2 linked regions of the Lepisosteus oculatus genome follow. The protein of the gene in region 1 interacts with the protein of each later gene in a pairwise test. Links are inferred from orthologs where the notes say so. Each region holds a gene or a part of one and is shown on either strand. Other genes may lie near its edges.

What was found.
Region 2: the proteins of cnksr1 (region 1) and cyth3a interact in binary tests that used the Homo sapiens proteins (3 or more experiments, as listed by UniProt). The two-hybrid records come from large-scale screens. The link is inferred for Lepisosteus oculatus from reciprocal best matches to the Homo sapiens genes CNKSR1 and CYTH3.

The regions. Positions count from the first base shown.
Region 1 is NC_090706.1:11,006,386-11,021,945, forward strand, and holds the start of cnksr1 (connector enhancer of kinase suppressor of ras 1), read left to right. Parts: upstream 1-7,515; 5' UTR 7,516-7,760; coding exon 7,761-7,812; intron 7,813-11,421; coding exon 11,422-11,579; intron 11,580-14,738; coding exon 14,739-14,941; intron 14,942-15,560. UniProt on the Homo sapiens protein: May function as an adapter protein or regulator of Ras signaling pathways.
Region 2 is NC_090714.1:16,754,380-16,770,358, forward strand, and holds the start of cyth3a (cytohesin-3), read left to right. Parts: upstream 1-8,954; 5' UTR 8,955-9,320; coding exon 9,321-9,339; intron 9,340-10,254; exon of another isoform or gene 10,255-10,481; intron 10,482-15,979. UniProt on the Homo sapiens protein: Promotes guanine-nucleotide exchange on ARF1 and ARF6. Promotes the activation of ARF factors through replacement of GDP with GTP. Plays a role in the epithelial polarization.

The sequences.
Region 1 (15,560 bases):
TCTCCCCCTTTTCTTCTGAGCGTGAGCTGCCGATCACGATTTGTCGCCCAGGAAAGTGCTTCCCGTCGACACTTTTGGGTTCCCTCATTATACAGTACATTGTCCTTAGGAGTGAATAAGAATAAAACCAAATTACCCTCCTCTACTACTGTTACTACTAATGATAAACTACAGCAGCTACTACTACTAAGAGTCTATTATTATTATTTAATAGTAATAATTGTGTATTGCTTAAATATCATTAATTAAATAAAAAATATAATACCAAAATTAATCCTTAATAATAAATTAATATAACAAATATATTAACAATTATTATTAGTAGTAGTTGTATAAAACTGCTACAACAGAAAATAATTTAGAGTGCTTACTCGAGGGTAAGAGTCACATCACTGGTGTCAGTAACGTGCTGTAATAACAGGACCCTAGCCAGCAGTATGATGTAGAGCAAGAGAGATCTTGCTAACACCCAGACATTTCCAATGGTGATCCTCACCAGTGGAAATTGCTCACTGAAGCAATGTGCTCTGGTTCTGCAGAAATTCCGGAGCTCCTGCATCTGTGACATCACATCTTCGCTAATGTAATAGTGTCGATTCTCGATGCTAGAAGAATGCCAGGGAATAATCTTCAACAACACCCTTCAGGCTGAGAAAAGACAAAGCTCTATAATAAAAGAGACAATGTAGGCACACTAGGCAGACATTAATAAATAGCAGGGCCTTCTGCTATTCTATTAATCATACTTAAAGAAAGAAAGTGGTTTTTATTATACACTGCTAACAAAAATCTCTCAAGAGAAGAGAAATATTGAAAATTGAAATATAGCACCCATTCACAAGAAGAGTAAGGAACCCAAGCCAATGGAGAATATAATCAGATTACAGTAGAGGACTGACTGTATGGTAGTAGGATTATAAGGGATAGTTGACATGGATTGCAAGAGGTTTGTCTTGCTAACTAAAGCACTTTAGAGTTGTTTGGAGAAGTACTGTAACACCAGCAATGGATGAAAGATGAACACGTTTTATTCTATATTTAGATTTTCAAAAGCCCTTTTATGAGGTTCCCAATAAAAGGATTAATGCTCAGATCAAACACATTGCTTGTGTTTGGATGGAGAAATGACTACTAAAACAGAGTCCAAAGTTTTCATAAATCAGCAAAGTTCCTATGTTAACTTGATTGGCATATAGTCAGTAAACTAGTCAAGTTCACAGCTGAAATAAGAAAATGGGAAGATGAGCAAAGATTGTAGAAGTAGCAGAGGAAATGAAAAAATAACTTGTATAAAATCAAACCTGGTGGAACACCTTCTGGTATTTAATATAGACAACTCGGGAGAACTATATGCAATTATATGCAGTTAAAAAATACAAAGAGAAATTTAAAGGGATATTATGTTACATGTGTACAATACATTAGTAATAACACATTTAGATTTGTGATCAGTACATCCCTGGTCCCCTGGTCTTATACACAGGAATGTTATACACTTAAAATTAAAAGTTAAAATAATATTTTAACATAATATAATTTAAGCAACAACATAAGAAAGAATGCAAGCAATATCAAATATCCAACTTCCGAGTTTGATAGTTTAGTAAATTTAAACTAAGATTTCATCCAGCTTGTTCTTTAAAATGCCAAGAGCTTTGGTCTTAGCCACCTGCCTGGGAAGCGTGTTGTAGATTCCCACAATTCACAATTCACAATTTTTACATTTTGAACAGAGATGACTGCGAAGGGACCTGATTCAAGAATTCCAAAACCCCAGTGGACTAGACCACCAGTAACACACAAATCAGAGCACAAGCAAGTGCAATTCACATGAGGACAGGATGCACCTTTCTGACACAGGTTGTGGGAGTCAGGAACAAGGTATTCTGCAATGGGTTTGAAGCCAATAACCAGGCTTCTTTGATGAAAACTGGACGAGACCCTCAGAATAACTTAACTGTTAGCAACAAATAGGACAGATTGGCACAACGGTATCCTCCCATCTGTGACGTTATTTTATTAAGTATATTTCTCGAGTCTTGAGAGCTGAGTGCAAACCGGTCTGAGCAGAAATTGCACAGAAGAAAAAAGAATGACAAAAATGAAATAATGAATCGCAGTGAGACCTAACTGATCTTCTGTCCCTTCATTTTCTAACTGATTCTTCCAATTCAGGATCTCAGTGGAGCCGGAGCTTATCCTGGCAAGCAATAGGCACACGGTGGGACACACCTTGGACAGGATGCCAGTCCATCGCAGGCAACACACAGATACAGATACACACACTCACGCCAGGGCCAATTTTCCCAGAAGTCAGTTACCCTACCAGTATGTCTTTGGACTGTGGGAGGAAACCGGAGCACCCAGAGGAAAGCCACACAAACACAGGGAGAACATATAAACTCCACACAGACAGCACCCCAGGAATTGAACCCAGGGCCCTGGCACTATAAGGCAACAATGCTTAACACTGTGCCGCCAATGCTACACCAAACTAATATTTTTGTGTTTCAAAAATACATTGAAATCCAGTACAGAATTTCAGTGATGTTGAGAGATTATTCCATCATTACCGAAAGCCTCGAGGAATCTCAGGATCTTCATTCGCATGAGGGTTATGACTCAGCCAGATCAGGATTCCCAGGGCTATGCCACGAGCTAGCATAAATGTGTACTGCGGGCTCCTCACTTCAGACTAGAAATGATGTGAGTTATATCGAATGCTATTTGTTATGGAAACACTATTGAATGCCACTGGGCTAATAAGACTCTCTGTCAGGTTTCTGCAGTTACTTTTTCAAATAGTATTATCTGGAATAAATTCAAATTTTTTTGTGTGTTGACTGGAAGAAGTGAGGCTGCCTCTTTGCATGTCAAAACTGAAAATATACACCCACAGGCATGGTAGGGGTCCAACTGCACCGAGACCCTTTCAGGATAAATGTAGGAAACAGGGCAATACAGAAAACTGGTTAGTTAGGGATAAAATACTGTGGAAGATTTCAAGTCATTTGTGTGATAACTGGGAGAAAATTATTGTTGAAAAAAATAATAATATTAGCAAAGCTACTGTATATGTTCAGCTAGTCCCTAATAAGCAGGATTTACAAGTAGCCATTAATCAGCTCTTTCTAAAAGCCTTAAACAATTTGTGATTAATGAGAGGTTACCTTACGTAATTATTTGAAGCCTAAAATATATGACCATTCAACCAATGAGGCCCAGAGTTCTATGAACAAATTGCTTGCTCCATTGATCATTATGGGTGTTCCTGCTCTTTAGAAGCAGGTACCCTTTGAGACAAACTGCACTGGGGCTCGTCTGCATCAGAGCGATCAAATGTCTTCAGACAATTGCACAAAAAAGAGAAACACGACGCAGGTTCTCGTTCTTGCTTTTGCTTTAGATGAGCTGTAATCTGGCAATCCAAATGAAAGAGCAGCTGTAGCCGGATGGGCAAAAGATCTGCACTTCACAGTTTTGCACTGGCAGGAACGAAACATTCTCAGAGCCTCTGATGGCTGGGAGTCCGAAACCGTTTGGAAAGGCTTTGTGCTGAGGCCGAGCTTGTCTCGACGGGAGGAGGAATGTGTGGAATTTCAGAGCGATTCCCAACTTGCCAGGCAACACCTGGCAGGGTCAGACAGCTGAGACCACAGTGGAGGTAAATGTTGGTACCGGGGGAGGCAGACAAAGCTCTCTTGATAGATATGTCATTTTACCAGAAAAAAAAGAAGCAATGAGAGAAAACGAGTAACACATAACAGCCCTTGTATTAATATTTATAGCTATGGTAGTTACAATAATGGTAGTTATTCAAGGACATATACAACAAATATGTAAACAAGTTTACAAGAAAAATGAATGGCATGATAATAAGGCTGATGGAGCAGCGTGTGGAACAGTGGTTAGCGCTGCTGCCTCACACTGGCGGGGCTCTGTGTTCAGTTCCAGGACCTGGGGTGCTATCTATGTGGCGTTTTACACTCTCTTGTTCACGTCGATTTGCTCTGGGTGCTCTGGTTCCCTCCCAGCAGTCCAAAGACATACGGGTAGGTTAATGAGCTTGAGGTGTGACTGTGATCTTGTCTGTGTGTGTCCTGCAATAGACTAGCGTCCCATCCAGTCCTGATTGTAACGGAACGTTCTTTCAGGACCCTATGCAGACAACACAATCCGGGAGGAGTGAGGAAAACACAGGGGGGAAAAAGCATGCAGGGTTCAGGAATTCAACTAGGGGGCGTGTCCATGGTGAGCAGGTGTTCTGGGGGGTGAGTCCGGGGCAAACAATCCAAAGCAGAGCCCATAGGGAAATCCAAGGCGAGGCAAATGTCCAAAGCCGGGCAGTCCATCCGAGACGAAGACAAACAGAATTAAAAACCGGAACGGGATCCGGTGGATGTGGGGGGGGGACAAGGGGGGAACGGGACCAGGTGCTCCAGATCCCGGACTCGCTTGGTACGGGAACCAATGCAGAGCCCGGAACAGAGTGAGCATCTGGCTTTTAAGGTGGGCTGGATAGGAGGCTGGAACTGGGGGCAGGTGCACAAAATCAAGACAGAAGTAAAAGAGCCGGAGCACCCTTAAGGAGGAGGGACTACAATCGTGACACTGATGCTATCCGAGAAGGGTTCCGACTTCTCGACACCCCTGAATTGGATACTTATTAATAATAAGTCTGACAGAAACGTGAAGAGCAGTGCAGGAGCTGTGCTGGATGAAAAAAAAAAACAGCGTAATGGTATGTCATCTCAGTTCACAGTGATTCAGACCATGAAGCAAATCACATTGCCAGTTTAAAAGTTAAGCACATTGGTGCAATGCAGTGTTAAGAGTGACCAAACAACTAAATTGAGAGCTGAGAGATCACAGGTGCTGTCTGAGCAGGTGGGTCTTGAGCAGTAGCAGAAAGGACAGAGCACTTCTGATTACTGAGGAACAAGGGTGGAGAATGAAGGGCTGTGGCAGTGGGAGAATGCAGAGGGGCCAACGGAAGTCTGGCGGAAGAGGGGGAGTGGAGAGGGGGTATAGGGAGAGATAGGACCCTGAAGATAGGCAGGAGGAGACTGGGTGTGACAGTGAACAGGGGGTACTGAATTGGATGCATGCAACCATAGGAAGACAGTGGAGTAACTACTGTAACACAGCAGTGTGTGAAAAATTAGGAAAAAACAAGGAGATCTGCAGGATTCTGGATGTGTTAGAGTGGGCAGATGGGCTCAAGAGTGAAGAGAGAGTTACGTTAGTCCAGGCAGGAGAATACCAGGGCCTGGACTAGGAGCAGAGTAGAAGAGCTGGTAAGGAAGGGGAGGCTTTTGTGAATTCAAGAAGAACTGGCACGAGAGTTCCATAGAGGAGACTGTGAGACAGGCAGAGATAAATCAGGAGACATGAGTATCAGAGGAAAAAGAGAAGGAAATCTGAGCAGCATCAGTGTATGAAAATCCATGGAGAGACAGCTGCAGAGACATCAAGAAGCGCTGAGATAGAGGGCAGGGAGACAGCTTGAGTGGAGTGAAGAGAATTGATAACAGAGAGGAAAATAAACCTAGCTGAACCTGCGGAATGAAAGCCAGACTGAAGTCTGTGAGTGAGGGCTGCACGAGGGCAGTGCAGAGCTGGCAGTCCACGGCCCGCCAGACGATTTTAGAGAGAAAGGGGAGGGGGAAGACGGGATGAAAGTTTGGATGGGATGAGGGATCAAGGGTATTTTTTTAGGAGGCGTGCAATGCCGGGCTTTTTAGAAACAGAGGGAAAACAGCCTTGAGAAGAGGAAACAGTATAGGGAAGGAGATTCTGGAGGGTTAGGAGTCAGAGAGGAGTGTGAAGGAGGAAAAGCAGAGTCTGGTGGGTGAGGGAGGGGGGTAAACATATTTCTGTTGTGAGAGATATTGTAATGAATATATAGATAGATAATACTTTATTAATCCCGTAGGGAAATTGATGATATATGCATTTATCAATCACAGAGTCATGAATTAATTCGGTAATTAAAACACAGATTCAGTGGAAAACATCTGAGCAAGCATTTGAGGCGGTTTTGTAAAGAAAGACAGCACGAAAAAAATGAAATGTCTAGAGTATCTCTCTCTTCAGCTTGGAAAGGGTTCGTGTTAATTCTAACGGCTGACCCCTTGTTAATGATACTGGAGTACACAATGATAAGCTTATGGTTAATAAACTACTCAGATGGCAGTGAGACCTATAATTTTCAATATTATTATTTATTTGCATAGCACATGGTCTTTTCCAAAGAGATTTGAGTGTTTTAAGCCTCATGACATTGTTCTGAAAACAGACCGACAGGAAAACAAAGCCAACACTAGGTGGAGCTCCATCTCAGCAGGGTTTCCTTCATGATAACCTTGTAAGAATCCCATTCCTTAGCTGCCCTGTAGACTAGGGCAATCCACGAGCACAGGTTGTGATACTCCCCTCTGGACCGGCGTTGTCAAATCCATGTCCCGGGTATGCTGGCTGTTGACACTGAGCTGCGTGTGTCAACTTTGTGGTCCTGCCTGAATTCCACTCTGAGTTTACACAATCTGGCAGACCTGAAAGGTGTCCTTCTAATTTAGTAGGTCAAGAAGACTTCCCCACCTATTGTATCGGAACATAATGGGTGCTGTGCACCCGGGTGAGAGTTGCTCCTTATTGGTCGACAATATTTCCCTGCTGTATATAAAGCGACCCGTCATCTCTGGGGATTGAGAATAAATAGAATGAATCATTATCCGGACCAAGGGTGAATTACAGCATGCGCGATGATTTATATTGTCCCATAGGCAGATTAGCTTCACGATCACCCTTCACCACACACAGGCGATAATATAAACGTCGTGTAGCCCACTTTCTCGGTGGGATTAGACAGGAATTGAACCCTGAACCTTGGTGATACCAGAGCTATGCTCAACCCAGTTCCCTCAAAGAGCTGCGGCAGCCTCAGACCAAAGTAACAATAAAGGTGTGCCTCTTCTTTGGCGCTTTCGTGGGGAAAATGTGGATACCAATTGCTTTAAGAGCGTTAAATAAGTATCATTAAAACAGTATACTGTAAGGTTTTTGAGAAGCTTTTGGGGTTGGTAATTACGAGCCCTGTGCTCTTTCCGAAAATCAAATAAATCATTGGTTTACCCGTACATTTTGTTGAATGACAGTATGCCAGGCGCTTGACAATACTACACGGCGAAGCTAACGCTATAATAATAATAATAATAATAATAATAATAATAATAATAATAATAATAATAATAATAATAATAATAATAATAATAGGCTATTGAAGAAAACTTTTATTAACTGGTTTGATTTCTTGAAGAGACGAAAGCCTTGTTAGTAGGTTGAGTTTTTTCCCACAGTCGCGAAACTACAGTATTAGCCCAGTGAATCAGAATAGAATTTTCCACGCAAATCAAAACAGCTCGCTCAAGACAGAGGTTTGATCATGTAAATAAAACCCAACCCTTGTTCCCAAACTTACGCGCGTTCTCTAGCCGGGGGCTAGAAAACAGCCTAGAGAGAGAGAAGAAAGGTGGAAAAGTAACTTTTCAATTCCCTCCCTCAACGCATAACTCAAGGGTTTGGAGAATTGCTCCAGCCTGTAAGGAGACGTGACAGGGCGTAACATACCGCACAATTGGTCAGCCTGTGTGGATTACCTGCTGGTGGGAGTGCCGTGGGAAAGGCATTTTCCCTGAGGACTTTCGGGAGGGTCTGGTAAGGAATACAGTGGGGAGTTTTAAGTGTCCCGGACACAAGATATGGAGCCTATTGCGTCCTGGAGTCACGACAGAGTTAAGGACTGGCTAAAAGGTAAGTTAGAGCTGGATGTGGGGATCTGATTTATTTTTCTACAAAATCGTGACATGTAACTTGTCAGGAAAACCGATCTAAAACAGCAAAAACATACAGTATGGGACAGTTCTCGTTGGGACTGGAACGAGGAAGTGCTTTTAGTTATGCGCAGGCGTCGGTGCAGTAAACTCAGGATAGACGCACTAGGCAGGGAGCGCACAGACACTTGGCGAGTACTAATTTTTCAATTTCGTGCGAGCAACCGCCCCTCTTAAATTTAAAAAGCACCCCAGCTGCTTTACACTTATACGGACGTTTTATTGATTGTTTGTCAAATATATTTGGGAAACGCTAGTACGAGCAACACGAATGTCAACATGAACTTTTTTGCCCAGCAGGATAGCATGTGGTATGTGTTCAAAGTTCATAATTGGGTTTTTGAATACAGAATTTAGTTTAATTCCTTGTGTCAACCCGCACATTTTAACCCAAACTGAGGTTAAGTTAACAGGTCGTATTTTCCTCATATGCACTAGATTATTTTTCTTCAATGAGGACTAGCTTTTTATTCAGCGTTATTGAAATTTAGGAGACTTTTTATAAATCCCACGTTTTTATTGTGGTTACTGCTAAGGAATTCATTTTTCGGAACTATTTTTGAATTTGCACCCCAAATTTCATCGACACAGTCCGTAATTTATTCCGAAAAGGGTAAAGGTACCCAGTGCCTTCTGATTCATAGGATGAAATCTACAATTTAAAATGAAACCAATGAAACTGGTGATCTGCCTTGGACGTGCTAATGTTTAAAGGACGTTAAAGGTTTCATGAAAGTTTTCCACATTATAGGTCTTAACTTCTCTAAGGGTTATCTGCCAAGAACAAGTTTTTTTTTAGTTCAGGATATACTGGTCTGTTTTTAAAAAGCCTGTTGTGTGATCAGTGCGTCAATCAATCAGCTGATAAAAAGTCACTTTGAATTGCACCCCAGTTCCTATGTCACCTGAAGGGCTGGGGCCAATAACTTCAGTAATAACTTCAGTAAAGGTGACTTTGTTTCAGGACTAGAACTGCAGCTTGTGTCTGGAACGTCCTGGTAACCTTTAACCACATACCCACCTGAAGGCACCTGAATTCTGCTTTGCTGTAAACATGACTTTGAAAAGCATCTGTCTTTAGCCCGTTCTTGACTTACGTTAGACACAAAGTCGAAACTTCGCCAATCCAGCTAGCTCAAGTAAAGTCCTTGTTGCTTAGTAACCAAACGTAAATCCTAAAGCCGTAAAGAAATGTAAGTTCCTGTTCCTGTTTCATTTTCTGTACATAACTCTCTTTAAAACTGCATTGAAAATTAAGTTATAATCAATCTCAAACCTTTGAGAAGTGATTCCATAATTGTTTAAGAAAGCACATACAGTAGATCATTTTTAATTTACAAAACACATATAGGGCCATGTTTCATTAAAAAAAACAACTGGTAAAGTGTTTTTGTTTTATTTCAGAATTCCTTGCCAACAATTTCAGTTTTCTGTTTTATCTTTTAATACCACGACTTTTTTGTCACTAAAATGTAATGTGAAGGTAGTGTAACAGCACTTTAGGGATACAGCTCTTACTGTGATATTGTGTCTGGTTTGTTATTTAAGTAGTAAATGATCTTCAACATCTTTGCACACGTGGAGGTACAGTACGTGATTACGGACACTTAGCTTCTGTATCTCTGTCTTGGTATAATATTCATCGTGGGCCTTGTCAATTGCATTTACTTTTTTATATAATGTGACCTCATTTGTGTGTGTGTGTGGGGGGGGGTCTCATTCCCCTGTGAAAAATCTGTCTTGAGTCTAGTTTTAATGCAAACTCTGATCTGCAGACCATTTGCAATTTACAGACATGGTTTGTGGTGAAGTTTGGCTTCTTTCAAGAGCCAGCTGGATGAGATCCTCCCATCAATTAGCTACTAGTTACCTGTTACCTGTTGGAAAGTTTAATGGGACTTTATTAGCTGTATCATGCTAAAAACGCAGGTTTTTCATGTGTCCACCAAAGTGTGGTAATTTTACTATGGTGGGAAACTGATATATCTCCTGGTATGTGCCAGTGCCACATTAGTGAAAGACCTTTTTTTTACCAGGGTAACAGTTGATTCATCAAATGCCTTGCAATGTGAGTGTCCCCACTTTTTTGTAAACACACCCATCAAACTTGGATTTTGCTTTATCATACCCCCATGTAATCTTTATATTTCTGTTCTAAAGACTGAACCCTGTTAATCTTGACCTGACTGACCACTGTAGGATATGTCTTCATTCGGGCTCTTTGTTTTCAGCTCTTTGACCTCTTTGTAGTTGAATATTCTGTATCTTATCAGAACTATTTTAATATTAGTTTACCATCTAATATTTCGATTTTTGCAATCTTAAGAAATATAACTTGGTCTTGCGTAACCTAGTATTTGTTGTGTATTATAATTTAACACAGTGTACGTTATAATACACTTTCCCCTGTTATAACAATATAAATTCATAATAGGCCCAGTTAAATATTTCTTCTCTTGCCTGCCCTGGCTCAGAGTCATACTGTTTGTGTACAAACAATAGAAAGGTGGCTGAAAGGAAGCTGTGCTCCGGTGTAGGCCCAAAAATGTTCTTTATCTGTTTTTCGACGTTCTTGAGCTTTAGGCAAAGATAAAAAAGGATGAGGAAGTAAACTGCTGAAATGCATGGTGCTAGTCAGCCCAAGGCACAGCTTTCTGATACTGAAATGAGTCTGCTCTGAGGGGCTTGTTGAGTAAATGGATTCCAGTTATCACACATCCTATTTTTTCTGCATTGTTTAAAACCCTTTGATTGCAATGCTCCTGTTGAAACAATAAAAAAATAGAATAACAAAAACCGGGAGTGGTGGTGCCTTTGTTTAGGGTTGAATTCCTCTCACACAAGGGACGAGTTTCCATGCGCAGAATGTGGGCGGTGTTGTTTGTGCTGTTAAGTGTACTGTGGTACAGCATTTTCCTAAGTTGGCAGTGAGTTCCCACTAGTTCCCACTATTCTCTGTATTACTTTTTGTTTTCAGATGCTTAATTGTAGATTCTGCTCCAGTAATAGAAAATGCTTTTTACTCGGGAACGTTATTAATAATCAGCCATTTTGCATTTTATCTCAAGTGGCTTACAGAGACCAAGGGGTGAAATTTACATTTGCAGTAGCGCGCCTGAGGTCATGCCCAGTGCTTCAGAGGTGCGCACTTTACAGAAACGAAAAGTAATGCTCAGATTAGGTCTCAGTGAGTCAGCAGGCTTTTATTTTACCTGAATCCCATAACTGGTAATTCTGAAAAGGGCATCGACTGACTGTAGCCTTTGGTTCCACTGGCTGTGCTGAATTGCCCAGGGCTTAAACAGACCCTGCTTATCACACAGTGCATACCTTGCCTACTGCACCACCTGGCCTCATGCATAGAATCAAATACCTACTGAAGGTGGGCTGATTCTCAAGATGGGATTGTTCCAAATTCAGCTCAGTGCTGCAGTGGAATCTCTTAGTGTGCCTAACGAGGATGGGCATGTAGGAATAGCTGCAGTCTTTGCAGAATTATGTTGCCAATGCTTGGCTGCTGTGCTTTCAGGTTTGGAGCCCAGCCTGCAGCAGTACCCCTTTGAAGAGTGGCACCTGACAGGGCAGGACTTACTGCAGCTGTCCTACAAGGATCTGGAAGGGCTGGGGGTGAAAAAGATTGGCCACCAGGAGCTCCTTCTGGAGGCCGTGGAAAAGCTCTGCTCACTGGTAAACGAAACCCTTTGCCACTTTTATCGATCAGAAAATTATTTTGCCATTCTGTTACAGCATGCACCATCTCTGACTTCGCACGGTGTCTCTGTACACCATGGCCGAGTGAATTCACAGCTCAAGAGTAGTAACATTAACCAGCGGGGACCCAGTTTCAGGAATTGTAGGTAGTCTGTTTGCTATACATTTTCTAAAAATGGGGTTGTGGGGTTTGGTTAGAAAAGGTCATTACTGGATCTTCCTATGATCTACGAGAAATTGGATTTCTTCTTCATTTTACTAATTTAGTTTTCTAGATGTGGTCTAGCAATCACACAGAATGTGCACAGGCAGATTTACCGGAATCAAAATCGGAATCTTAAGAAGTCACAGGTAGTAATTATTTTATCTATTTTTCAGCAATGTAATTTCATGCAATGGTTGCGTGAAAATAATTCCTAGCAGGTTCCTCTTTTAGTCATTTTCTTTGCAGAAACCGATATTAGCAAGTCATCAACCTTTCAGTTTACCTGAATTCCATAATGGCTAATTCTGAAAAGAGCATTGACCGATTGTAACCTTTGGCTCTTCTGGCTGTGTTGAATTTCAAGGCCATAAAGGAGCTACAGAGCATTAAATAGGACAGAGGACTAGTTAGCCATGCAAGTATTTTAACTCTGTGCAGCATTCTGTTTACCCAGCTGTTGCAGGCTTCAGGGTGAAAGATTTACACTCTGCTTCCTTTTTGCCACAACCTGCCACTTCACACATTTAAATCCTTCACACTTTTATTTCTTTTAAAACTGTTTTCACCTTTCCTGTGATAAAAGTAAACAGGTCTTGGCACCTAGTACAATAGCTGACATCAGGTTGTCAGTTGCTCTCATCGCCTAGTCTGTGATTGGAGGAGAAATCTATTTTTCTCAGGTTTCTGAAGAGCTCTTTAGATTTTTACAGAAGTTCACTGTCAAGGACATTACATACCAATGTTAGTCAGGAATATGCTGAGTAGTGGCCCACAAAATATGCTTGGAGCTAAGATAATATCTAGTCCTTTTAAGTTGTTAGTTTATTCTTCTTATTTATGATAATAGCAGCTTTTTATTGCAAGTTTCCAGAATAAAATACAATAAAATATAAAATATATAAATATGTATCTTTCCATTGATTTTCTAACCACTTCATCCAGTTCAGGGTTGCTGAAGAGTTGGAGCCTATCCTGGCAGGCAGTTGGTGCATAGCAAGATACACCCTGGCCAGTCCATCACAGGACACACACAGACACAAACACACACACTCACATCAGAGTCGTTTTTTCCTGTTTAAGTCAGTTAACCAACCAGGAAGTTCTTTGGTCTGTGGAAGGAAACTGGCACACCTGGAGGAAACATGTGAACATGGGGAGAACATACAAGCTCCACATAGATATATGTGTATATATTTTAAATTACGTATATTAATTTCTTCAGTTTCAATAATAAATGAGAAAACATCAAGAGCAAGAAGGCTTTACTTTTTTTTTGCATTTCAAAATAGTGGAAAAGAATTTGCTGAGAAGTGTCAAGGGAAATTGCTTGCAAATTGTTTCCAGGTAGTACAAGCAGAACAAAAATAAATGAAAGGTTCTTTGAGTAATGAAAGAATTAGTCTTCATCTGTGAGTGTCACATGAGGACTGCACTAATGCCCTAATGACGTGGGAACTAGCAAGCTTATCTGATAACGTGTTTCTCCCAGATTCAGAATAAATATGAAAATTCTCCTGTTAAGGCTCTGCTGATTTGGTAAAAATTCGTTTTTAGTTCTGTACTTGTCTGTTCTTCTTATCCTGCTTTACCCTGTGCAGGGTGGCAGGGGGAGCCAGAGCCTATACTTATAAGCAGCAGGTGCAAAGTAGGATACACCCTGTTGTAAACCATTGTGAACCTGGGGAGAACATGCAAACTCCACACAGACAGCACCCCAGGTCCAGAATTGAACCCAGGGCTCCAAAACAGTTAGGCAGCAGTTCAATCCACTGCACCTCCATGCTGCTTGAGAATTTAACCTTTTATTTAATTCTTCATTTGGCTCAGCAGCATACAAGGATACTAAAATTCGAATGTATTATTAGATCACAAAGAAACGTTTTACACTCCTGGAAGTCTATGACGGTTTACCTTCTTGTTGAAAACTCCTTTCCACTCTCCGCTGTGTCTAGTTCTCTGTCCCAAATGACAGGTGACTGGGAGGGCACTGATCTTGAGTGAGAGAATAAAGTCGCACAGACAAGAGACTAGGCACCACGTAGTGATCATAGATACATCTGCCCATGGGTGAGAGGGTCGGGCAGTGTGTCAATCATTTTTTTAGAACTGGGAAGAACCAAAGTTACTATTGTGTCTGCGGCATAATTTGGGACCTTAATCAGAACTGAAGCCCCCAGAAATTGCGGTATACTTCACAAGATGGCGGCTTTCTGTTTGGCTTGGAATGTGTGATTTATAGTTGGGTGTGGGAAGAAGGTGTTGGGGTGAGGGTGAATTGACATGGAGTTTAGACAAAAGCCTCTGAGAGAAAGCAAGACACAGCTTCTTAATGTGACGTCCTATATAGATAGGGACCATCAGTTGTTCTCTACCTCACCCGCCCTTGCAGTAAAGGCCCTTGTTCTGAGTACAGGTTGAGCTCAAGGATCCTGATACTGCATGTCACGTCATAAGCCAGCTTTGACCAGAAGTCTGCAAGCTGCCACATTTGGCGGAGTGCTGGGAAGGGTCGGACTAGAACAGTAAGTTGTGCAATTTCCCAGAAGGCCACAGGCTTGCAGTGATGTCAATGACACACACCAACCCTCCTGACAGGTGCTGTGGAGCACTCATTGTGTCAGAAGATCTCCTTTTTCCATGTGAGCTACAGGAGTCATTGCTGGGAGCTGCTCCAAAAAGTTATACAACTGGCAGCTCCCAGTTACATTAAATGAAAGATCCCCCCCCCCCAAAAAAAAAAACTGTGAAAAATTGACTACCTTGTTCTCGTGGCCAGGTTGTTGCCCCTCAAATAATCAAGTCCATACCAAATAAAACTGTACTCCCTGGCGTCGCCTTGCAAACATGTTAAAATGGGGGATGATGTCTGCATTTCTTGGATAAGCGTGGAGAGCTGACGGCCCGCTGTGTGCTCTGTGTTTTGCGAACAGAATTACGGTATGTCTGGGGAGAGCATGCGCTCGGTGACGGAGAAGCTGCGCGGGATGGCCCACTCCCTCCAGATGGGCATTCAGAGCCGCTGGCGAGTCAACACCTACAACGGCCAATCGGTGTGCAAGCTGCCCTCCGAGACTCTCGTCTGTGTCATCGAGCTCATCGTGGCCGTCAGGGGTTGCTTCTCCTGGCTCAACAGGTATGCTTCTTTTAACGCACCTGCTTGAAGGGACCGGCCTTTTTTCTAGAAATTGTGTCAGTGTAACAGGACTCAATGACACTGAAGTGATATCTCCCCCATGAATTCCAGACAATGTAGGATTCTCCCTCTGCAGACAACCTGGTCTCTGGGCGTTGTGCAGTTTGCCACTGTGACCATGATCAGCTGCTCCCATCACACATGGACTAGTGTTAGAATTGCTCACAGCTCTGCAGAGCCTGAAGTGCATCTATCTGCACATCTAAAAGTAAAGTCTTTTTCATTCAGCTGTTCCTCTTTATGTTAATAAACCAAAGGAGAAGCAGGGAAAACAGGGCTACAACTTCAAAGACGGAGTGACCGAATTACAATCTTCTAAACTCTACATTTCGGGCATCTGGATTGCAGTGATGGTTGTTTGATCATATGACACACTTAAAAAATTTCTGTTCATTAAAATCCCTGAAGTCTTGAGAATCAAACAAAGTTCGCATCTCTTATGCTCGCAGAGAGTCTTTGCTGAGCCACTGGTTGTTTGCCCTTTTTTATTTGAACACAACTTCTCATCCTTGATCCTGTTTAACTCCTACTACCCATCTGCTTTAATAGGGGTCATATT
Region 2 (15,979 bases), on another chromosome or scaffold:
GCGCGTTATTTCAAGACCAGCGGGACACTCCCCACTCGTGCAAGTCCACTGCAGTCAATAGACTCAAATCAGTCAATACACCGCATCGACGAGCAGATGTTTTTCTACATGGGCTTTCAAGAAGGGATCAAACTCGCTGATTACTTCGGGGACACCCGTGAAGCTCCCGTTGTCGGGGCGCCCCAACGTGTCGCTGCGCCCCTACAAGCCAGCCCTCGCTCTGCTAAAAACTTCACCACTGCAAACACCCTTTTCAAGACTTCAGTCCAATACTCATTGTCAAACTGTCTTGTTAGTTCTGACTCTATTAGACCACTATCAGCGCAGCGAATAACGTTACACGACCACAGCCTTTCCACGGCTCTCCGACACCCCGTGTCCAGCCAGGCGTGCGGCGGTGTTGACCCGGTCACTACAGCCTGCGGCCAGTCCGGACTGGTCATCACCGCCCCCGAATAGTTACATGTGAAACAGAACACTGTACCTTTCGAAGGGGATACGGCAGCCATCCTCTTGGCACACACCAGCCGTTTCAGAGTTTTCTTCTGAAGAGGGTTTTAGAGAAATACCTCTCGGTGTTGATGTGGTCTTTCCGATGCTGCAACATCCGCGTCTCGGTTTTGACGCGATTCCGGGCCCAACTGAGCCCGGCATGCCCGCCGCTGTCCACCTGGTTCACCCCAGCACGCTGGGGCCGAGCTGTAGGCAGCGGGAGCTGCAGGTGCACCAGCACGGCGGCGGCTCGGACATGGCGGCGGACGGCGGTGGCGTTTCGGACGGCTCTGCCTCTGGCTCGTGTTCCTGTGACTCTTTTCGTCTTTGTGCCCCACTGTCATATTTTCTATCGCACATTGTGAGGCTGGCTACCGTAAACGTGCACCAGATTATCACCCGATGAATCCACCGACATAAATTTGAACTGCGAACCCATTGAATCGAACCACTCATTGGTTCACGCATGATTCAACGTTTTTATGGACCAATGGGGGCCCACAGGTCCGTTTAAAAAATACTGTGGCCCTGATCAATCAGGGGCCCCTAGGCTACAGCCTATGCTAGCCTTTTTGTTAATCCACCCCTGAGTGGAAGTTATCCAGGGCTCCCTGGGGAAGGGGCGGGGCTCATGAGGGGCGAACTCACTCTCTGACACAGACAACTCTCCTTCTTAGGACTCAAGAATTCGTAAAAGGCAGTGAATCTGTCGGTCAGAATTGTATTATTGGGCTTGTCTTGTGTTACCTTACAGTGTAGTACCATGAGGTATGTCTTTCCATTCGTTTGAGGAACAGTCTGTGCTTTTATGTGGAGACACTGTGCTTTGTCTTAGAGAGTTGAAAAGTCACGACAGTGCAGAAAAGCAGTTCTTACACCCCTTCAAGGATCCAGACATACAGTAACCTCCTGATCTGCGACAAGGAAGCAACACTTCTTCCAGCCCTGGTGCCGTTTTTAATTGGTGAAGCAGGAGCACTGCTGTACACCAGAGCAACAGAGGAGGCCTGCTGGGGCTCAGATGTCACCCTGGGGTTATGTGTGACTTCCTGGATGAATTTCTGGGTTGCTCCTGGCAGGACAACTGGTCCTGGGGTGGAGTCACCGTGATCCATTTGTCAGCTTTGGATGGGTGGAGGCCCAGAAGTTGTTCTGTCGTTGTGGCACAACATGCTAACCTGTGTGTTGAAGAGCAAGCTCACAAAATGACTCTTTTATATTGCACAGGAACTGAACCATATAGTGATCAGCCCTTGTAAATGTAGCCCTTGCTTTCTTGTAACCCGATTAGTTAACTGTTTGATTCAAATTACTGCCTTAATTGTGCTAATTAAGCGTTGACTTATTATTTCACATAGGCTATGAGAAAGAGTTCTTCCTTTCTTCTAGTTCATACACCATTGTGTTTCAGAAAAACATTGAATTGGTAATATAAACCCTTGTGGTTATTTCAGAAAAGACTGGTTTCGATTTAACAAGGGTAGGATGTTAAGAAATTTTAATTCCCATAATTATATTAGGGTTGACAAACATTTTCTTTTACTCTTGGCTGTGTGCACAATTGCCAAGATCTCTACATCTTGGGGCGCAATTCTCTTTTCCTTGAACGCATTACTGCTCTATTTTTATCTTTCTTAGGCTTTTTATGATTTCACATGGACATAATCAGAAAATATCCGCATTATTGTAGTTTAAAAACTTCGGAGGTTTGAAAAAAAACAATTCTTGCAAACACAAGTAAAAAAAAGAATGACCAACAATGACCACAAACGTGTGTTTCATCCACAAATCTACAGGTCTTGCGAAAAGTATAATAGTATACAATAACAGAAAAGATAAGCATGGCTATTGTAGGAAAATACTGACGTGACCTGATTCCTTTTCGGTTACACAGCCTTTCCTTTATTTCATGTGACTAAGCTATAATCACTTCCCAGGAGATGGAATGTTTGTGCAGTTATCAATCTCTCCCTTCTGCTCCTATTTTCGTTCTCTTTTTCATCCTCTTTTGCTCCCTGTGCCTGCCTTTTTCTTTCCTCTGTCTCTTCTCTTCTGTCTCTCTTTGCCCTTAGCCTCCTGTGCCTTTTCCTCAGCCACCGTCCTGTCTCTCTGTGCCTCTCATCTCTGTCTCTCTCATGACAGGCCAGCACAATGCCATTTACCTCCTGCTCTGTAAACTGATAACATCGTGGAAAAAAAAACGAGCTGTCCCTGGCTGACTGGTCCCTGTCAGAAGATATCAGTGAGAGGAAAAAAATTATCTTTAGACGAAATGCAAATAATTCTTCCAGTATGAACCTGGCAGAGGACACTACATCTGCAGCACTGGCTCTGCAGAGTCACGGTCCTGTACTTTTTATAGATCACATCAATGAGGATGTTACTGTCAATTTCCCAAATAGTTTGTCGAATTACTGTAGGTCATTATGCTTCAGCTGGGACAAAAGGAGATCAGGACCATGCAGGACCATGCAAGTACAGACACCTTTTGCTTAGTTGATTTAATGAAGTGAGTAAAAATAAAAATCAAGGAGATGCATGAGAAAGAATGTACAGTAGTGCGTCTTGCTAATTGCTTTATTCACCTTAATTATTCATTAAGTAAACAAAAGTATTTGGTAAAGACACTAGTTTCTCATAAGACAGTGGCAAAACAATGTACCGAAACCAGTCACGTGCTAGGGGTCAAGACCCAGAGAAGAGCAATATAATGGAAGAAAATGAAAAATAAGTACAGTCAATGATACATCACACAACGTAAAGCTTCGTGACGCTGTGACCTTGCATTTCTCACGACAGATGTGCAGGTACCATGAGAGATGTACCACACACCAAGCTAGCTGTCTGAAGCCAGAAAGGCAAACTCCTCCATTGCAGATGACCCGTGGGACTGAATTTTAATCAGGTCAGAGATTACCCATTCCAAAATCTATCGACTGTCGACTCCGAACATCACGGACCTCTTCAAACTTCAAAACGAAACTTCATCTACACAGAGAGAAAACACACTCCCCACTTGCAGAGAGAGAAGACAAGTTTCCTCGGTTTCGTTAACAAGCATTGTGAAATTAACTTTTGACTTTGCGGTACTGTTTCCATGACAACTTAGAATTGTGTTAGTATTACATTGCCGTTTTGTTGCTGTAATATTATTTTATTTTAATATTTAAAAACAAATGCAGCAGAATACATGAACGACCTCAGAGTTCAGACTAGAGTGCTGACAACCGCACTGAAAACTGCTCGCTTTGTGTTTCATTAAAATGCTAATCTACTCATCAAGTGGTTTAGTCATTTGAAAAATTTCTTGGGTTTTTGAGTGTTTAAGTACAAATGCTCACAACAGATGGCTGGGGGGGTCAGTGCTTCACTCTACGAGTGTGTGTTAAATGGGACAGTTATTAAAGAGTTTTTCCCAAGAGCAACATTATGCTTTTTCTGTTTTGGGCACTGCAAAATAAATCACAACAATAATCCTGAACTCTGAAGAGGAGAAAGGGATCCTTGTGTTATTTCTTTTCATCGTGTCTGCATGGTCTCAATCCAGCTCTTTCAGAGATTTGGGTACAGATTGCTCTGGAGCTGAGACCACTCTGGCAGCCTGTCTTAATCTGCATGAGCAGCTGATATCATCATCGGCGGCACAGATCACAAAGAGTCTGAACTGGGGAGGCAGACAGCAGACATCCCTAAATCGCAGGAACAGGAGATAACCGGAAGGTGGTCTCAGTAATGGCAGTCTGTGTGTCAACTGGCTGTTGGTTTTATATGGACTAGCATGATGAGCTGAGGTCATGCAACTAAAAAGGAGCCTGTGGTCTCAACTGATTCTGAAATACCAACACAGGAGGAGCTGGCAGAGGTCTCTGCTGGTTTGCATGTGGGGAAACATATGGTCAATGTGTGACAGAATAAAGGCGTTCTTTTCCAGAAGCGCGCTGTGATCCTGAGAGTGTGCGCTGTGGCCAGGCCCTTGTAAGTGTTTGGTCTAATTTTGACACCATGTTGAAAAACTATTACTGGGTGTAATCCCAGTGGGTGTCAAAAGGTTGCTTTCACAGTCTGAGCCATGCAGTGGATGTGATGCTGAGCCAAACGTATCTGAATGGACTGTAGTTCGGGGCAGCAAGAACAGGGCTGTATCCAGTTTATAGACCACGGCCGCAGCCACCAGAGAGCATGGCTGGGAGATCTTCACTACATCCACAGCACTCCATAGGAGTTCAAGTGACACAACAGTCTGCTCCACTCTGTAAGACGCTACCAGTTCCTTAATTATGTCATTCATAATTAGCAGGATCACTATGACATTCAAGGCAATGGTTTTATTAAGGTACCACGATGAAGTGGATTAACTCTGAATGTCCCCCATCATAACCAAACAGTGCTGACTATCTGCCCTGATGCTTTCTTAACAAATGTGGACTTCTTTTTTACTCAGCCAAAGAATCAATAGGCTAAAACCTTTTTTTCACGAATACTGGCACCACTGTTTCCTTGGCAGCAGTAAACTGTAAGTGAAGGACTATTTTTAGGCCTGGAAATGGTAAAAGGGTGTGAGACGCTGGGCTGGAGTCTGGCTCACGGCAAACGTCCCTCGAGCTCCTGAACTTGAGGAGCAGATGAAAGAGAAAGCTAGAAACCAGGGGGTTCAGTGTGTCACTGTGCTGCCCCGTATCCCGGAGCAGGAGGGAGGTTGAAACGGCATGCCAGCGAGCCAGAGGCGCTCCAGCAGGAAGGATATGACCGAGGGAGTTTATTTATGTACAGCCTGGAAAGGTGGATTACAGTGACAGTGACTGTGGTGACCGCTGCTGTACGTGCTCTGTGTCAGAGGCCTCGTCCCCGGGGGGGGGGGGGGGGGGGCAGCCTGACTCAGGCTCCGTCACAGAGACCCTGCGGACCCCCGCCGCCCCCAGCCAGCAGACCCCTGTGCTACAGGGCGTCCTCAGCGAGTGCAGAGGCGCATTCTGACCAACCGACTTCTGCCGCTCTTTACTCTGCAAACTCAGGAGCACAACCCCCCCCCTCCAGCTACTGCAGTTCATCAGTCTGGGAGCATGAGGGGAGGGCATTCAGCTTCAGCCATGTTCCACACTCCCACCACCCTTTGGGTAAAGAAGTGCCCCCTGGTGTCGTACATAAAGCCCCTATTCTTTCTGAAACCGCAGGGCGGGGATCTGGACTGTGCACCATTCAGCCCCACCTGGACACAGGGACTCCAGCCAGCCGGGAGCACAGACTTGTTTTGTTTCTCCTGAGCATGCCGTCTCCTCTCAGTTTCTAAATGAGCACCTTGTGGTTTTCTCAGAAGGGCGCCCGGCTCCCGGGGCATGACGCAGAGCACTTCTCCCCAGGAAAGGGGAAGGGCCCTCTGGAGCTTCCCCTCGCTCTCCGGTAGCGGCTGTCTGATCGCTCCTCGCTGGAAGGTATGAGCTCACTGCTCCGGCCAGCCCCCTGCTGTCCCTGTCCCATTCCTGGAAGGACACCGCTGAGCCGCCTCGGAACACATTCCCCGCTGCTCCGTGCCTGGGGAGTTCCTGGCGATTCTGGCCTGTTTCTTCTCTCAGATCTGAACACAGATGGGGAGACGGAAAGTGGAACGCACTGATGCTGCTTTCCTTGGATCGAAGGCACTCTTTTAAAAATACTTAATGTCCCGGCTAGTTCGTATGAACAGAAACACCCCTCCCCTCTTCGCCTTTCTGGTCGCCGTCTGCCATCCTGGATGTAACATGTACAAGTACAAAGGAGCAAAATCTTTTTTTAAAAAACCCCAACAATTAACGATACTTTATCATTACTTTGGCAGAATGGCCGCTGTGTGTCTCCCAGGTGGGAGTGCAATGCCGTACTTTCACGCTGGTCTACCTGTTGGGAACAGATCATTGGCTGCTGTTCTCTGCTCTGATTTCCGTACCCCACGCACACTCCCGCACACGTGAAGATTGAGGAAGTGTAAGCAGACCACTCCCTTTCCCCCTTCGAGCCAATCGTCTTTCGGCACGTCATCACCCCCCCGCCCTCCCAGGATGCTCAGCTCTGATTGGAGGAGAGGTGTGTTGCTCACCATTTGCGATGGTGACCCCCGGTCACAGTTGGCTGGTGACCTGAGCTCTGCTCAGGCCTGTCAGCTGAGCCATCCGGTCCCTCGAAAGATCGTCTCTCAACTAAAGCGGCTCTGTCCTCCTCTGTTTGCCTGTTGTAACATGTGGCACAGGCTAACAGATCACAGTGGAAAACCAGGAGGAAAATGAAATAATGCTCTAACGCTGTCACTGATGGTCTGTCTCCGATGCCAACCGGGAGAAAGCACGAACAGCACAGACAACCGACTCTAGTGAAAATGACTGCGGAGTGTGTTTGGGTGCTAATCGGTTTAGCACAGCAGTCTCCCCTCTAAGGGCAGAGGAAGGAACCGATTTCAGGTTTCACTGGATGTTCATCCATCTCGCAAGGCAGCCAGAGTTCATTTAATTTCTGCTGTCCTGGAGGCTGACTACGAATTTGCAGTGCTCCTTCGCTGCCTCTTGATTTTATTGCAGGCCGCAGAATGAATCTGATTTTTCTAACAAATGCAGACTCTGGTGATTTAATAACAATAATGACCACATGAGACTACTGCACATGAAACCTTGCCTGTTTCTCTCTCTCTCTCGTGATGAAAAGGGCACATTCTCAGAGAGAATGTAAATTAGACCCCGGAGCGGGCGAGGGGACGGGTTTGACCATTTACAAAACAGCCCGAGGGGCATGAATGATCCTTTCTTTGGAGCCACAGCTCTTTCTCTCTCTCCATTCATGCCAGCTGTCGGCCTGTGAACGGGCTAATTCTGCTCCTGTTAACCAGAGGCCACCGCCGAGCTGCAGTGACTAATTCACCGGCCTTGGCCAGGAGCGAAAGACTTCAGGCCCCGACAATACAGGCGTTTGAATCTGCTGCTTTATATTCCAGCCAGGACAGAGGACAGCACAGCCCCTGAATGGCGGCCCTTCATCCTCCCAGCGGTCCCCGTCGCTGAAAGGGCCCTGTTGGCTTTCGCTCCGAGGAAGTCAATAACCGACTCGCCGGCGTGAAACGTCCCGTGGTTGAAGACATTAGCAGGGTGAAAGAAGACCCAACGGCCGGGGGGGGGCAGCGTCTGAATCAGCTGAACGTCACCGTGGGCTGCAGAGCCACACACGTCGAGCTCCTCAGTCGCGTGCCGCATTCACGTCGTGCCCAGGGGGCGTCTGCGGCCTCGCTCGTACACTCCACTGGGCTGGCCCGTCGTGACAGTGCCATCACGGGTATTTCCGCTGCGGATCCCCGGAGGGTGAGCAGCTGTGTCACTGGAGCCGTGCGGCTGGGCTGGGCCGGGCCGGGCCTGCTCAGGACAGGGAACCACTCACCGCTGTCAGTGGTGTCAGTGGTGCTGGGCAGCCAGCAGGTGGCGCTGTTCCTCTGGAGCACGGTTTCCGCGCTGATGTCCCCAGGGTGGTGACTTGGGGACACGGTTTGGAAAAGATCTGAAACTTTAGGTCCTGACTGCTTGGTCGGATTGTCATTAAGATGAGATAGCTGGGGCCACAGACAGATTTCTGCTATTGCAGAAATGTGGAAAGGTGAGAGAAAACCACCCAACTGTGAAGTATTCGATGGGGATATTGGCCCTTTAGACTCATAAATTACTCAAGATATTTAAACACATAAGGCCACATAAATACAATCATGAGTGTGAATAAATTGTGCAAACAAACTGCAGCCTTTCTTGATATAAAGCGACAGATCTTGGGAAACGCCAGAGAATTTGCAGAAATGCAAATCTTCACAATGTGCGCCGGTAAAAAAAAAGCAGATAATTTTTATCATAGTCATAATGATATGCAATAACTCCATGCCTCTACTTTCAGTTTGTGATATAAATATATTTGCTTTTCATTTGACGTACATGTTACGATCATCAGACAGGTTAATCAGATGTGCCTTTCGGCACTACTAACCGGTTTGATTACGACTTAGGAATTGATGTAAAAAACGTATTCAAACCACTTGTATACATTTCACTTGAGAGGCACAGCACTGAAAATACCCTTCGCCCGTGCACTGGTCACGTTTAATACAGTCAATACTCATACCTATTGCTGTAAATGGAACGGGCTGTATTTGAATTTTAATTTCTGATGCACACCTCCGAATAACAACGTACACCCCCATACTCGTGTCATTACAAGGCGGGCGTCTGTCAATATCTCTCTCCCTGTGTGACACTGCATCCTCCAGTCTCACCAAACCCCTAGAGTCCAATAATCAAGTGCGATGCCGTGATGCAAATATTCTGTCAGTTTTTAACGCAGTAGGATCACCACCACACACACCAGCCCCCGGTGTCTCGCAGACGAGCGGCCCCGCGCGTCACGTGCCGGGGGCCAGGCCGCGGCGGGGGCGGGGCCGGGCGGTGACGTAGCCGCTAAGCGGAGCGGCGCCGGTGGAGGCGGCTCACACATAGTGGACCTGCACGGCGCTCCGCCTGCGTCTCGCCGCTGCACAATTATTTAAAACACTACTTGAACGATCTAGGATCTATACCTCCGATTAAGGCGATCCCGCAGCTTCCGGACGTTTGGTGTTAGTTGAATACGCTCCAGTTTCAATACATACAAATTATTTTTGTGTGTCTGTGTGTGTGCAGAATCCCTCATCCGCCCGGCGTTAAGAGGATTGATTCTGTACTTGCTTTTTTTCGCAATTGAATCCGGCTGTTTTCCTCTGAATTATTTTCTGTCCTGGGAGGTTTAAGAAGGTTTTTGTCTCCTCTGTGTGGACTTTGTACTCCTTCCCGATAGACATGGAAGAAGACATTTCGGGTAAGCGATGTGCGGTGTTTTGTTGTCTGTCACTGTGCGGCAGCTTGTTGGCGTGTGGTGTGTTATGATATTTCTCAAGTGTTATAGTACAGTGCAGCTCTGTGTATGATTTTAACCCTTCGTTTGTTTTCTGAACTAACAGTAGCTGTCATTCTGAAGGAGGACTGTCGTAGGTTGTTGAAATTAAGTTTTTCCTCGCAAATACCGCTTGATCGCTAACTCACGATTATTTTCCAACCGTATTTTGTTATAGAAGTGGGCGCACCGGGACAACGTTTGTTTTACAGACTATTAATAGGCTCTCTCCTCTGTTATCTACAGTATATAAGTACGTATATCCGATATCATTGGATACTCTGTTGTCCTTTTAAAATGCTCTACAGCTTGCACAGAAAGTAACCGTCAGATAAGAGAACAGAACTGCTTTTTTCCCGTAAATGACGTTTGACATCTGAATTCAATTACATTCCTGGGAGGAACATGTCTCGCGCCCCTCCTTCTCCCCGCACATCTGGATTTCCAGCCAGTGGCGGGTATCTGCATCTGCAGACCCCCCCCGGTGGGGGGCGGTCGGGGGCAGCTCTTGGATTCACAGTGGGGCCGCTCCAGTGTGGTGTCGCCGCTCCGGTTTTGAGGTTTGGATCCTGAGAGAAGCCGGAGTGAAAGAAGAAAGCCCTCCAGCTCCGTTCTTTCAGTGATGAAAAGGTGTTCTGTTCCCTAACACCCTGGACACAGATTCAGCTGTCTCCGTAAAGGGTCTGCACTTAGCCCAGACCTCCGCAATTATTCTTATACGTTTATGCATAATCATAATAATAATAATAAATTCCTTATACCTGTATAGTGCTGTTCTACACAGCACTCAAAGCGTGTTACAGGTAATGGGGACTCCCCCCCACCTATGTGCAGCCTCACCTGTGTGATGCATATCCGACCCGTTTTTAGGACGTGAACGACGCATTCCTCTGAATCCTACACGGATTCTCTCTGAACCGTCAACGCAAACCTCCCGCTGCGCATGAAATCGATGCGAACGCGTCAGTCCTGTTGCGCCAGGCTCCGTGAGCGTCGACGGGAATGCAGCTGTAGCACGCGTTTGAATTGAAGGCTGCGATCTACAGTATAATTGAACGGGCTGGCGTGGCACAGGAATGGATGTGCTGTAGTTGCAATGTATCTGTTGCATGGCGCGGAGGAATATGACATCAGTGCTCCTCGCCTCTTTGCGGGGGGGGAGGTGGAGCGAGCGGTGTGCACAATTCCGTAGCTATAGCCCAGATCCCAAATCCCCCTCAAGCCCTTTCTTTCTGAGGCACCGTCAGGCAGCGCTCGTGTCTCTCAGCTCAGTTCAAAGCGAACGCGCAGGCAGCTGCAGGACTCGCTCCGGTCTGCGCCTCGCCAGCACGATTTCACGGGCAGGATCCCGCTGATCGGCAGTTCGTTTCTGTGGCTGATAATCCGGCCGCTGTTGCCGGCGATGGGGTGATAATACCGTTCCCCCCGCTAGCTCACGTGTACAGCAGTTATTCACGGGCACGTGCCGTGTTACTCTCGCAACTCGGGTTTTGTCATTTTAACATTTTGTTCCCCCCCCAAGTCCTGAGTTTATCGCAGTAAGAATTTCATATCAAGAGCCCGAGCTTTAGTAAGAGTTAACTTGCGACACTTTTTCATGGATTCGTTCAAAACGACAAGGGGAGAAAAAGCGTGACAAAAAAACCCATTTCATTCCTCCGCCTCGGGTCAATCCACTTCCTCAACAGTCCTGACCTTTGGGCTGGAGCTCAGGAAGGGGCCCGTGTGGAGGTCCGGCCTGTCCGAGCTCACCGGGACCGCACCAGCAACTCCTAGCTTACAGATATGAGCCTTAGGAAGAGCGCTTAAGGGAACGTGTTTCATCAACACCTTTGATGAAAAAGTGATCAAAGGAGTGCAGAGCTGAGGGGCCATTTTGGGCATCTTGTCCTGAAAGGATTGAAGAAGCTGCCGACTGTAATCAGGAGGTCAGCAGGGCCCAGGACAGAGGCCAGTGGGCTCTCAGCGAGTGGTTGGCAGTGAAGCCCAGTGCTGAGACAGGGCCTCTGCTCGTCACGCTGACTTCCCGAAGGGAGGCTGGGGCACAGGAGGAGGAGTCTTCGACTGCCCTGGAAGGGAGAGGTTTTCCAGGAGCCCAGGCTGCCTCTGCACGGCCCGCTTGACGCTCAGGGCGATTCATGGAAGCGCCTCCTTGAAGATCTCCGCTGGGACTGGTCCCCTCTCCTGCAGCAGGAGCGGTTGGTTCTCCCCTGCTGGTGGGTGAAGGCACAGAGCGCTCTTTGTGCTCTGGGAAGAGGCTCCCCAGGGGCGGGAGAGCCCTCGGTCTTGTGATGGGCACTGCCGCGAGAAACCACGCGTAGGACCGTGGCAGCACCAGCCCAGGTCCCTGAGGCACCTCCCCCTCGAGCGCGAGGGCGACGCTGTGGTGCCAGTCTGTAAGGAGCACAGGAGGGCTGAAGCCCTCAGTGCCGCCTGATCCAGGCAGAGCCCCAGCTTGGAGGTCAGAGACTCTCGTGAGTCCGCCCTGCTCGCAGACCTGAGCTGTCTGCTGGTTCACTCCTCCTCCTCCTCCTCCTGACCTACTGCCAGGAAGATGGATCCGGGGTGCAGCAGGACAGTGGGGATCGAGGGGCAGGGAAGAAGCGAGCTCTCCGCTCCCGCGGGGCCGCTGACAGGTTCTGTGCCGGGCTAGGCTTGTTTTCTGCTTGCTGAGAGGGGCACCCCTGGCATGGGAATCGAGCCCCTGCTGGCGCTGGCGAAGTGGACCGATGAGACGTCGATAGGCCGCGAAGGAAGCGAAACTCCGTGACTAAGTAACCAGCACAGTTTTTTTTTTATGAACCAAAACTATGCTAAGAGCCGGTTTTTAAAACGAGGAATCTGACAGGAGCTCTCTCACGCCGTCGTCTTCCATCAGGAACAAGCGCAAATCAGTGTTCCGGGTCTCAAGCTCCCAATTCATGTTTCTTGCGGGAGCTCTTTTCAAGCGAGGTGATAAATTGCTGGCAGAGCCGAGCCATTTGGTAGCGTGCCGTAAATTACAGGGCGCGCTCTAACCCACACAGCGAGATCACAGGGCTTGTGAGGCTCTCTTGTCTCGTTCCACTGAATTTGTGAGTGCCTGGGACGATTTAGGCCATAACCTTGTGAAAATACTGTTTTTTTTTTAAGACAACGTGAGAGAGCGCAGAACGGGACGTTTTAGCCTAGTAAACGTGTAAAAATAAATAAATAAAAACAAGAGGCATGAAGGGAAAGAGTCCAATCAGAGCCTGGTCTAGCCCTCTGAAAAGCCCTGTTTTCTCTGGAAGGCCTCTGCCTTTTTCCTGCACGTGCCTGGGTCTCCAGCTAAGGCCCTGGGAGGTGATGGCTAAAAAGTGAAGCAACAGGACAACGGATTCAAAAGGATGGAAGAGTCGGTGACATTTGGATGGTATGGAGCCCAGTTTTAATGCCAGCCAGTTACTCACTCTTCCCACACAGCCGCTGAGAGCCCTGCGCTCCATCAGGGAGAGTGGGCAGTAGTTGTACTGGGTCATTGGGGTGGCTGGCTCATGACAAAGCGCAGGTCTGCTGAAGTGGCGGACTGCAGGGCGGTGTGTCCCTCTGCCAGTCAGCCCGGTGGGGGGGGGCTGTGCACGCCTGCCGCGGGTTCAGCTGTGACAGCTCGGGTCCCAGGGGCCGCAGAGAGCCGCGCGTCGGCCGCCGTGTCGCTTCTGCGTACTCCCTACGGCTGCGGGCAGTTTCAGAACAACAGCTTCCACTCGTGAACCTGACGACAGGAGAAATTCAGAACTCTTCTGGGCTGGGTTAAAAAAAACAAAGTGTTCTGCAGCGATGTGCTTGTGTGTTTGCAGTCCCCGACGGCGCTTCTGCATGTCGGATCGTGGCCGTATCGCGCGGTCCTGTCGGGATTGATTTACATGGAATTTTTTGTCGACGGCTGAACATGTGTTTAGCGAGACCTTGACGCCTTGGGAGCTGTGGGAGTTTTCCCTGGGGAATTCTTCTTTATCTTTCAGGGAAATTTAGCAGATAAGGGCCACGTGGACGTTCAGCTTCACCAAAATAGTATAGAGAATTATTATATGTAGACTGTAGGTGGGTGTGATACTTTACAAGAACCGTTTTCGATCAATTCTCTTATTTTTGGCTCAGGAATCAGATTATGAGTGCTGTTAAGCTCAGTTTTTATTTCATGACTGAAAGTTCTCCTTCCAGAGAAAATGGACATTTTCTCTTATTATTATTCAACTGCCTAACTGATGTCTGTAAATTGTCTCAGTGGGCTTTTTTATCCTGCTTTGCTCCCAGTACTAAATGGCTTTCTTAAAACGATCAGTTCTGCACTTATTATAATTTTCCCCTACATTGTGAAATGTTTAATTTTCTGAAAGAATAAAGAAAATAACATTCAAGTAGTAATTATCTCTTGCATTTCCCAGATGCAGTGGTGAAAGTAAGATTCTAGAAAGTGCCCCATCCATTTTCTTTTTGTCTTGTTCAGCATTTTTCCAGCTACAGTATGTTGGTAAAAACAGTCAGCACCATGATCACAGAATGACATCATGACTGTCTGTACTGTTCTATGAAACTTACTCCCATTGTACGGCTGTACTCCATTCTCTTCCTGTTTCTGTTTTTAGTTTTGCATTGGCAGAAGTCAGAAATCCCAATACTTCTAAATACATTAATTCTCTGCCTCGGCAGAACTGTTTATACAAGAGCCTGCAGGTTGTAAATCCTGAAGTGGATCAAAGCTCTGTGCAAAGTGAGTTTTAATTTGTTTCCTGTTTTTTTATTGCGAAAGGATCTGGAAGTGTGGTTCCTCATTAGCATTCCTTTGATCACTTCCTCGGCCTGCTGGTTTGCATTTTTGTGTTTCTTCATGTCACAGTCCGGGCTGGCTTAGACGTGAATCGCTCAAGACAGCAGCTGCACCTAAGTGGGACGCTTGGATGCAAGTCTCCTCCGTCGTGATTCAGCCACCTGGACTTTACACACAGACAAATAGCGGGGAGCTGCAGAGTTTGTCCGACCTGTGTTGTTGACGGTGGTTTGTGTACAGTTTCGGTCAGCATGTGAGATACTGCTGCTCTGGAATGGGTCCAGAGGAGGGCAATCAGGTGCATTCTGGGGCTTGAAAGAACGTCCTACGAGGACTGGCTGGAGGAACTGGACCAATGAGGTTACCTGGGAACCTGATAAAAGTATTACACATCTGACAAAATCAACCCAGTGCACTTCTTTAGAATCAACGGGGAAACACGAGCCAGGGGACGCATGCAGAAACTACAGGGAAGTGCATTTACAACCGAAAACAGGAGGCTGTGTTTTACCCAAAGGGTGGTGGGAGTGTGGGACAAGCAGCCCAGCCATGTTGTTGGAGCTGGTACCCCTGTGCTGGGGTATCTCTCCCGTGTCTCCACAGACACCTGAAGTGTAATGAAACCGTATAGCTGGCCGAGTGATACTGCCGTGTCCAGCTGGACTGGGGAGCTGATCTTCTTCCCGGCAGCCGGGGGGGCTGAGTACAGGCAGGGCCGTCCCCAGGGCCGGCGTCCCGCACGTGGAACTCGTTTGTGGGGGCGGCGCTGTCCCCTGGGGGGACCGAGGAGCCGAGCCCGGCGGGTGTTTGCTCGACTGGCAGATCCCAGGCCCGGGCGCAACGGCCCAGGACGGGCAAGCTCGTTTGCGTACGCGTGTGGGAGCTCCGAGCGGCGAGCGTGGAGAAAACCAGGCCCGGACAAACCCATTTAACTGGCCTTAAACATGCAGCGAAAGAACGGCGCTGGAGGAACAGACCTAAACGAAAGCAGATTTCCGTGAACAATACTAGCCTGTTGGGGGGAGTTTGGAGACATTAGACAAATCTGAGGTTGAAGTTTCTTTCTCCCAAATGGAGAGGAAGAATTCCTGCTCTCCCCTGGGGCTGTCTAGGCCTGCGGTGTTACTGGTTCTGAGCCCACCAAGCCACCACCCCCTGTTTTTCCTGCCCACGGTTCAAGGATTCCTGCTCCGAGATTTATTCTTTGCAGGTTTTTGGAGAGGAAAGCGGAGGAGAGGAAAAGGCAGGGCTGGAACACTTATGTAACGGGATCACAGATTGTTAAACCTGCTGAAGCTGCAGGAAATAGGTGTATCCGCATTACCGGGACATTCAGTACCACTGAAGTTTCCAAATCATTTTTTTTAAATCGTAAAGTCTCCATTACCTTCGACCCGGGAAAAATAGATTATTCCGAAATTAACATGCTTGGAGCTACTGTGATTCCTTTAAGTAATTTTGTTGAGCTGCCTTTAATATTTGAAGCCACTTTGGTGTTCCTCTGGCCATGTGGATAATAGGAGTGTGTTGTTTACTTTGTGACATATGCGCCATAAAAGTGACCCTGAAATCAACAGTTACCCCTTTTTCAAGCTCTCGAGACTCTTTTTAAACCCTTTCAACTGATTCATGTTTGTTTTTACTTTAGTTTCTCCAGTCTGCAAGAAAGTTTGCACTCTGTTTTTTTTTTTTACCCAAGTTAGGCATTATTTTCAGCTGATTAACTGGAATCTGAGCCTGATAGGACGGCCGGGCGGAATTAGGAAAGTAGCTGTG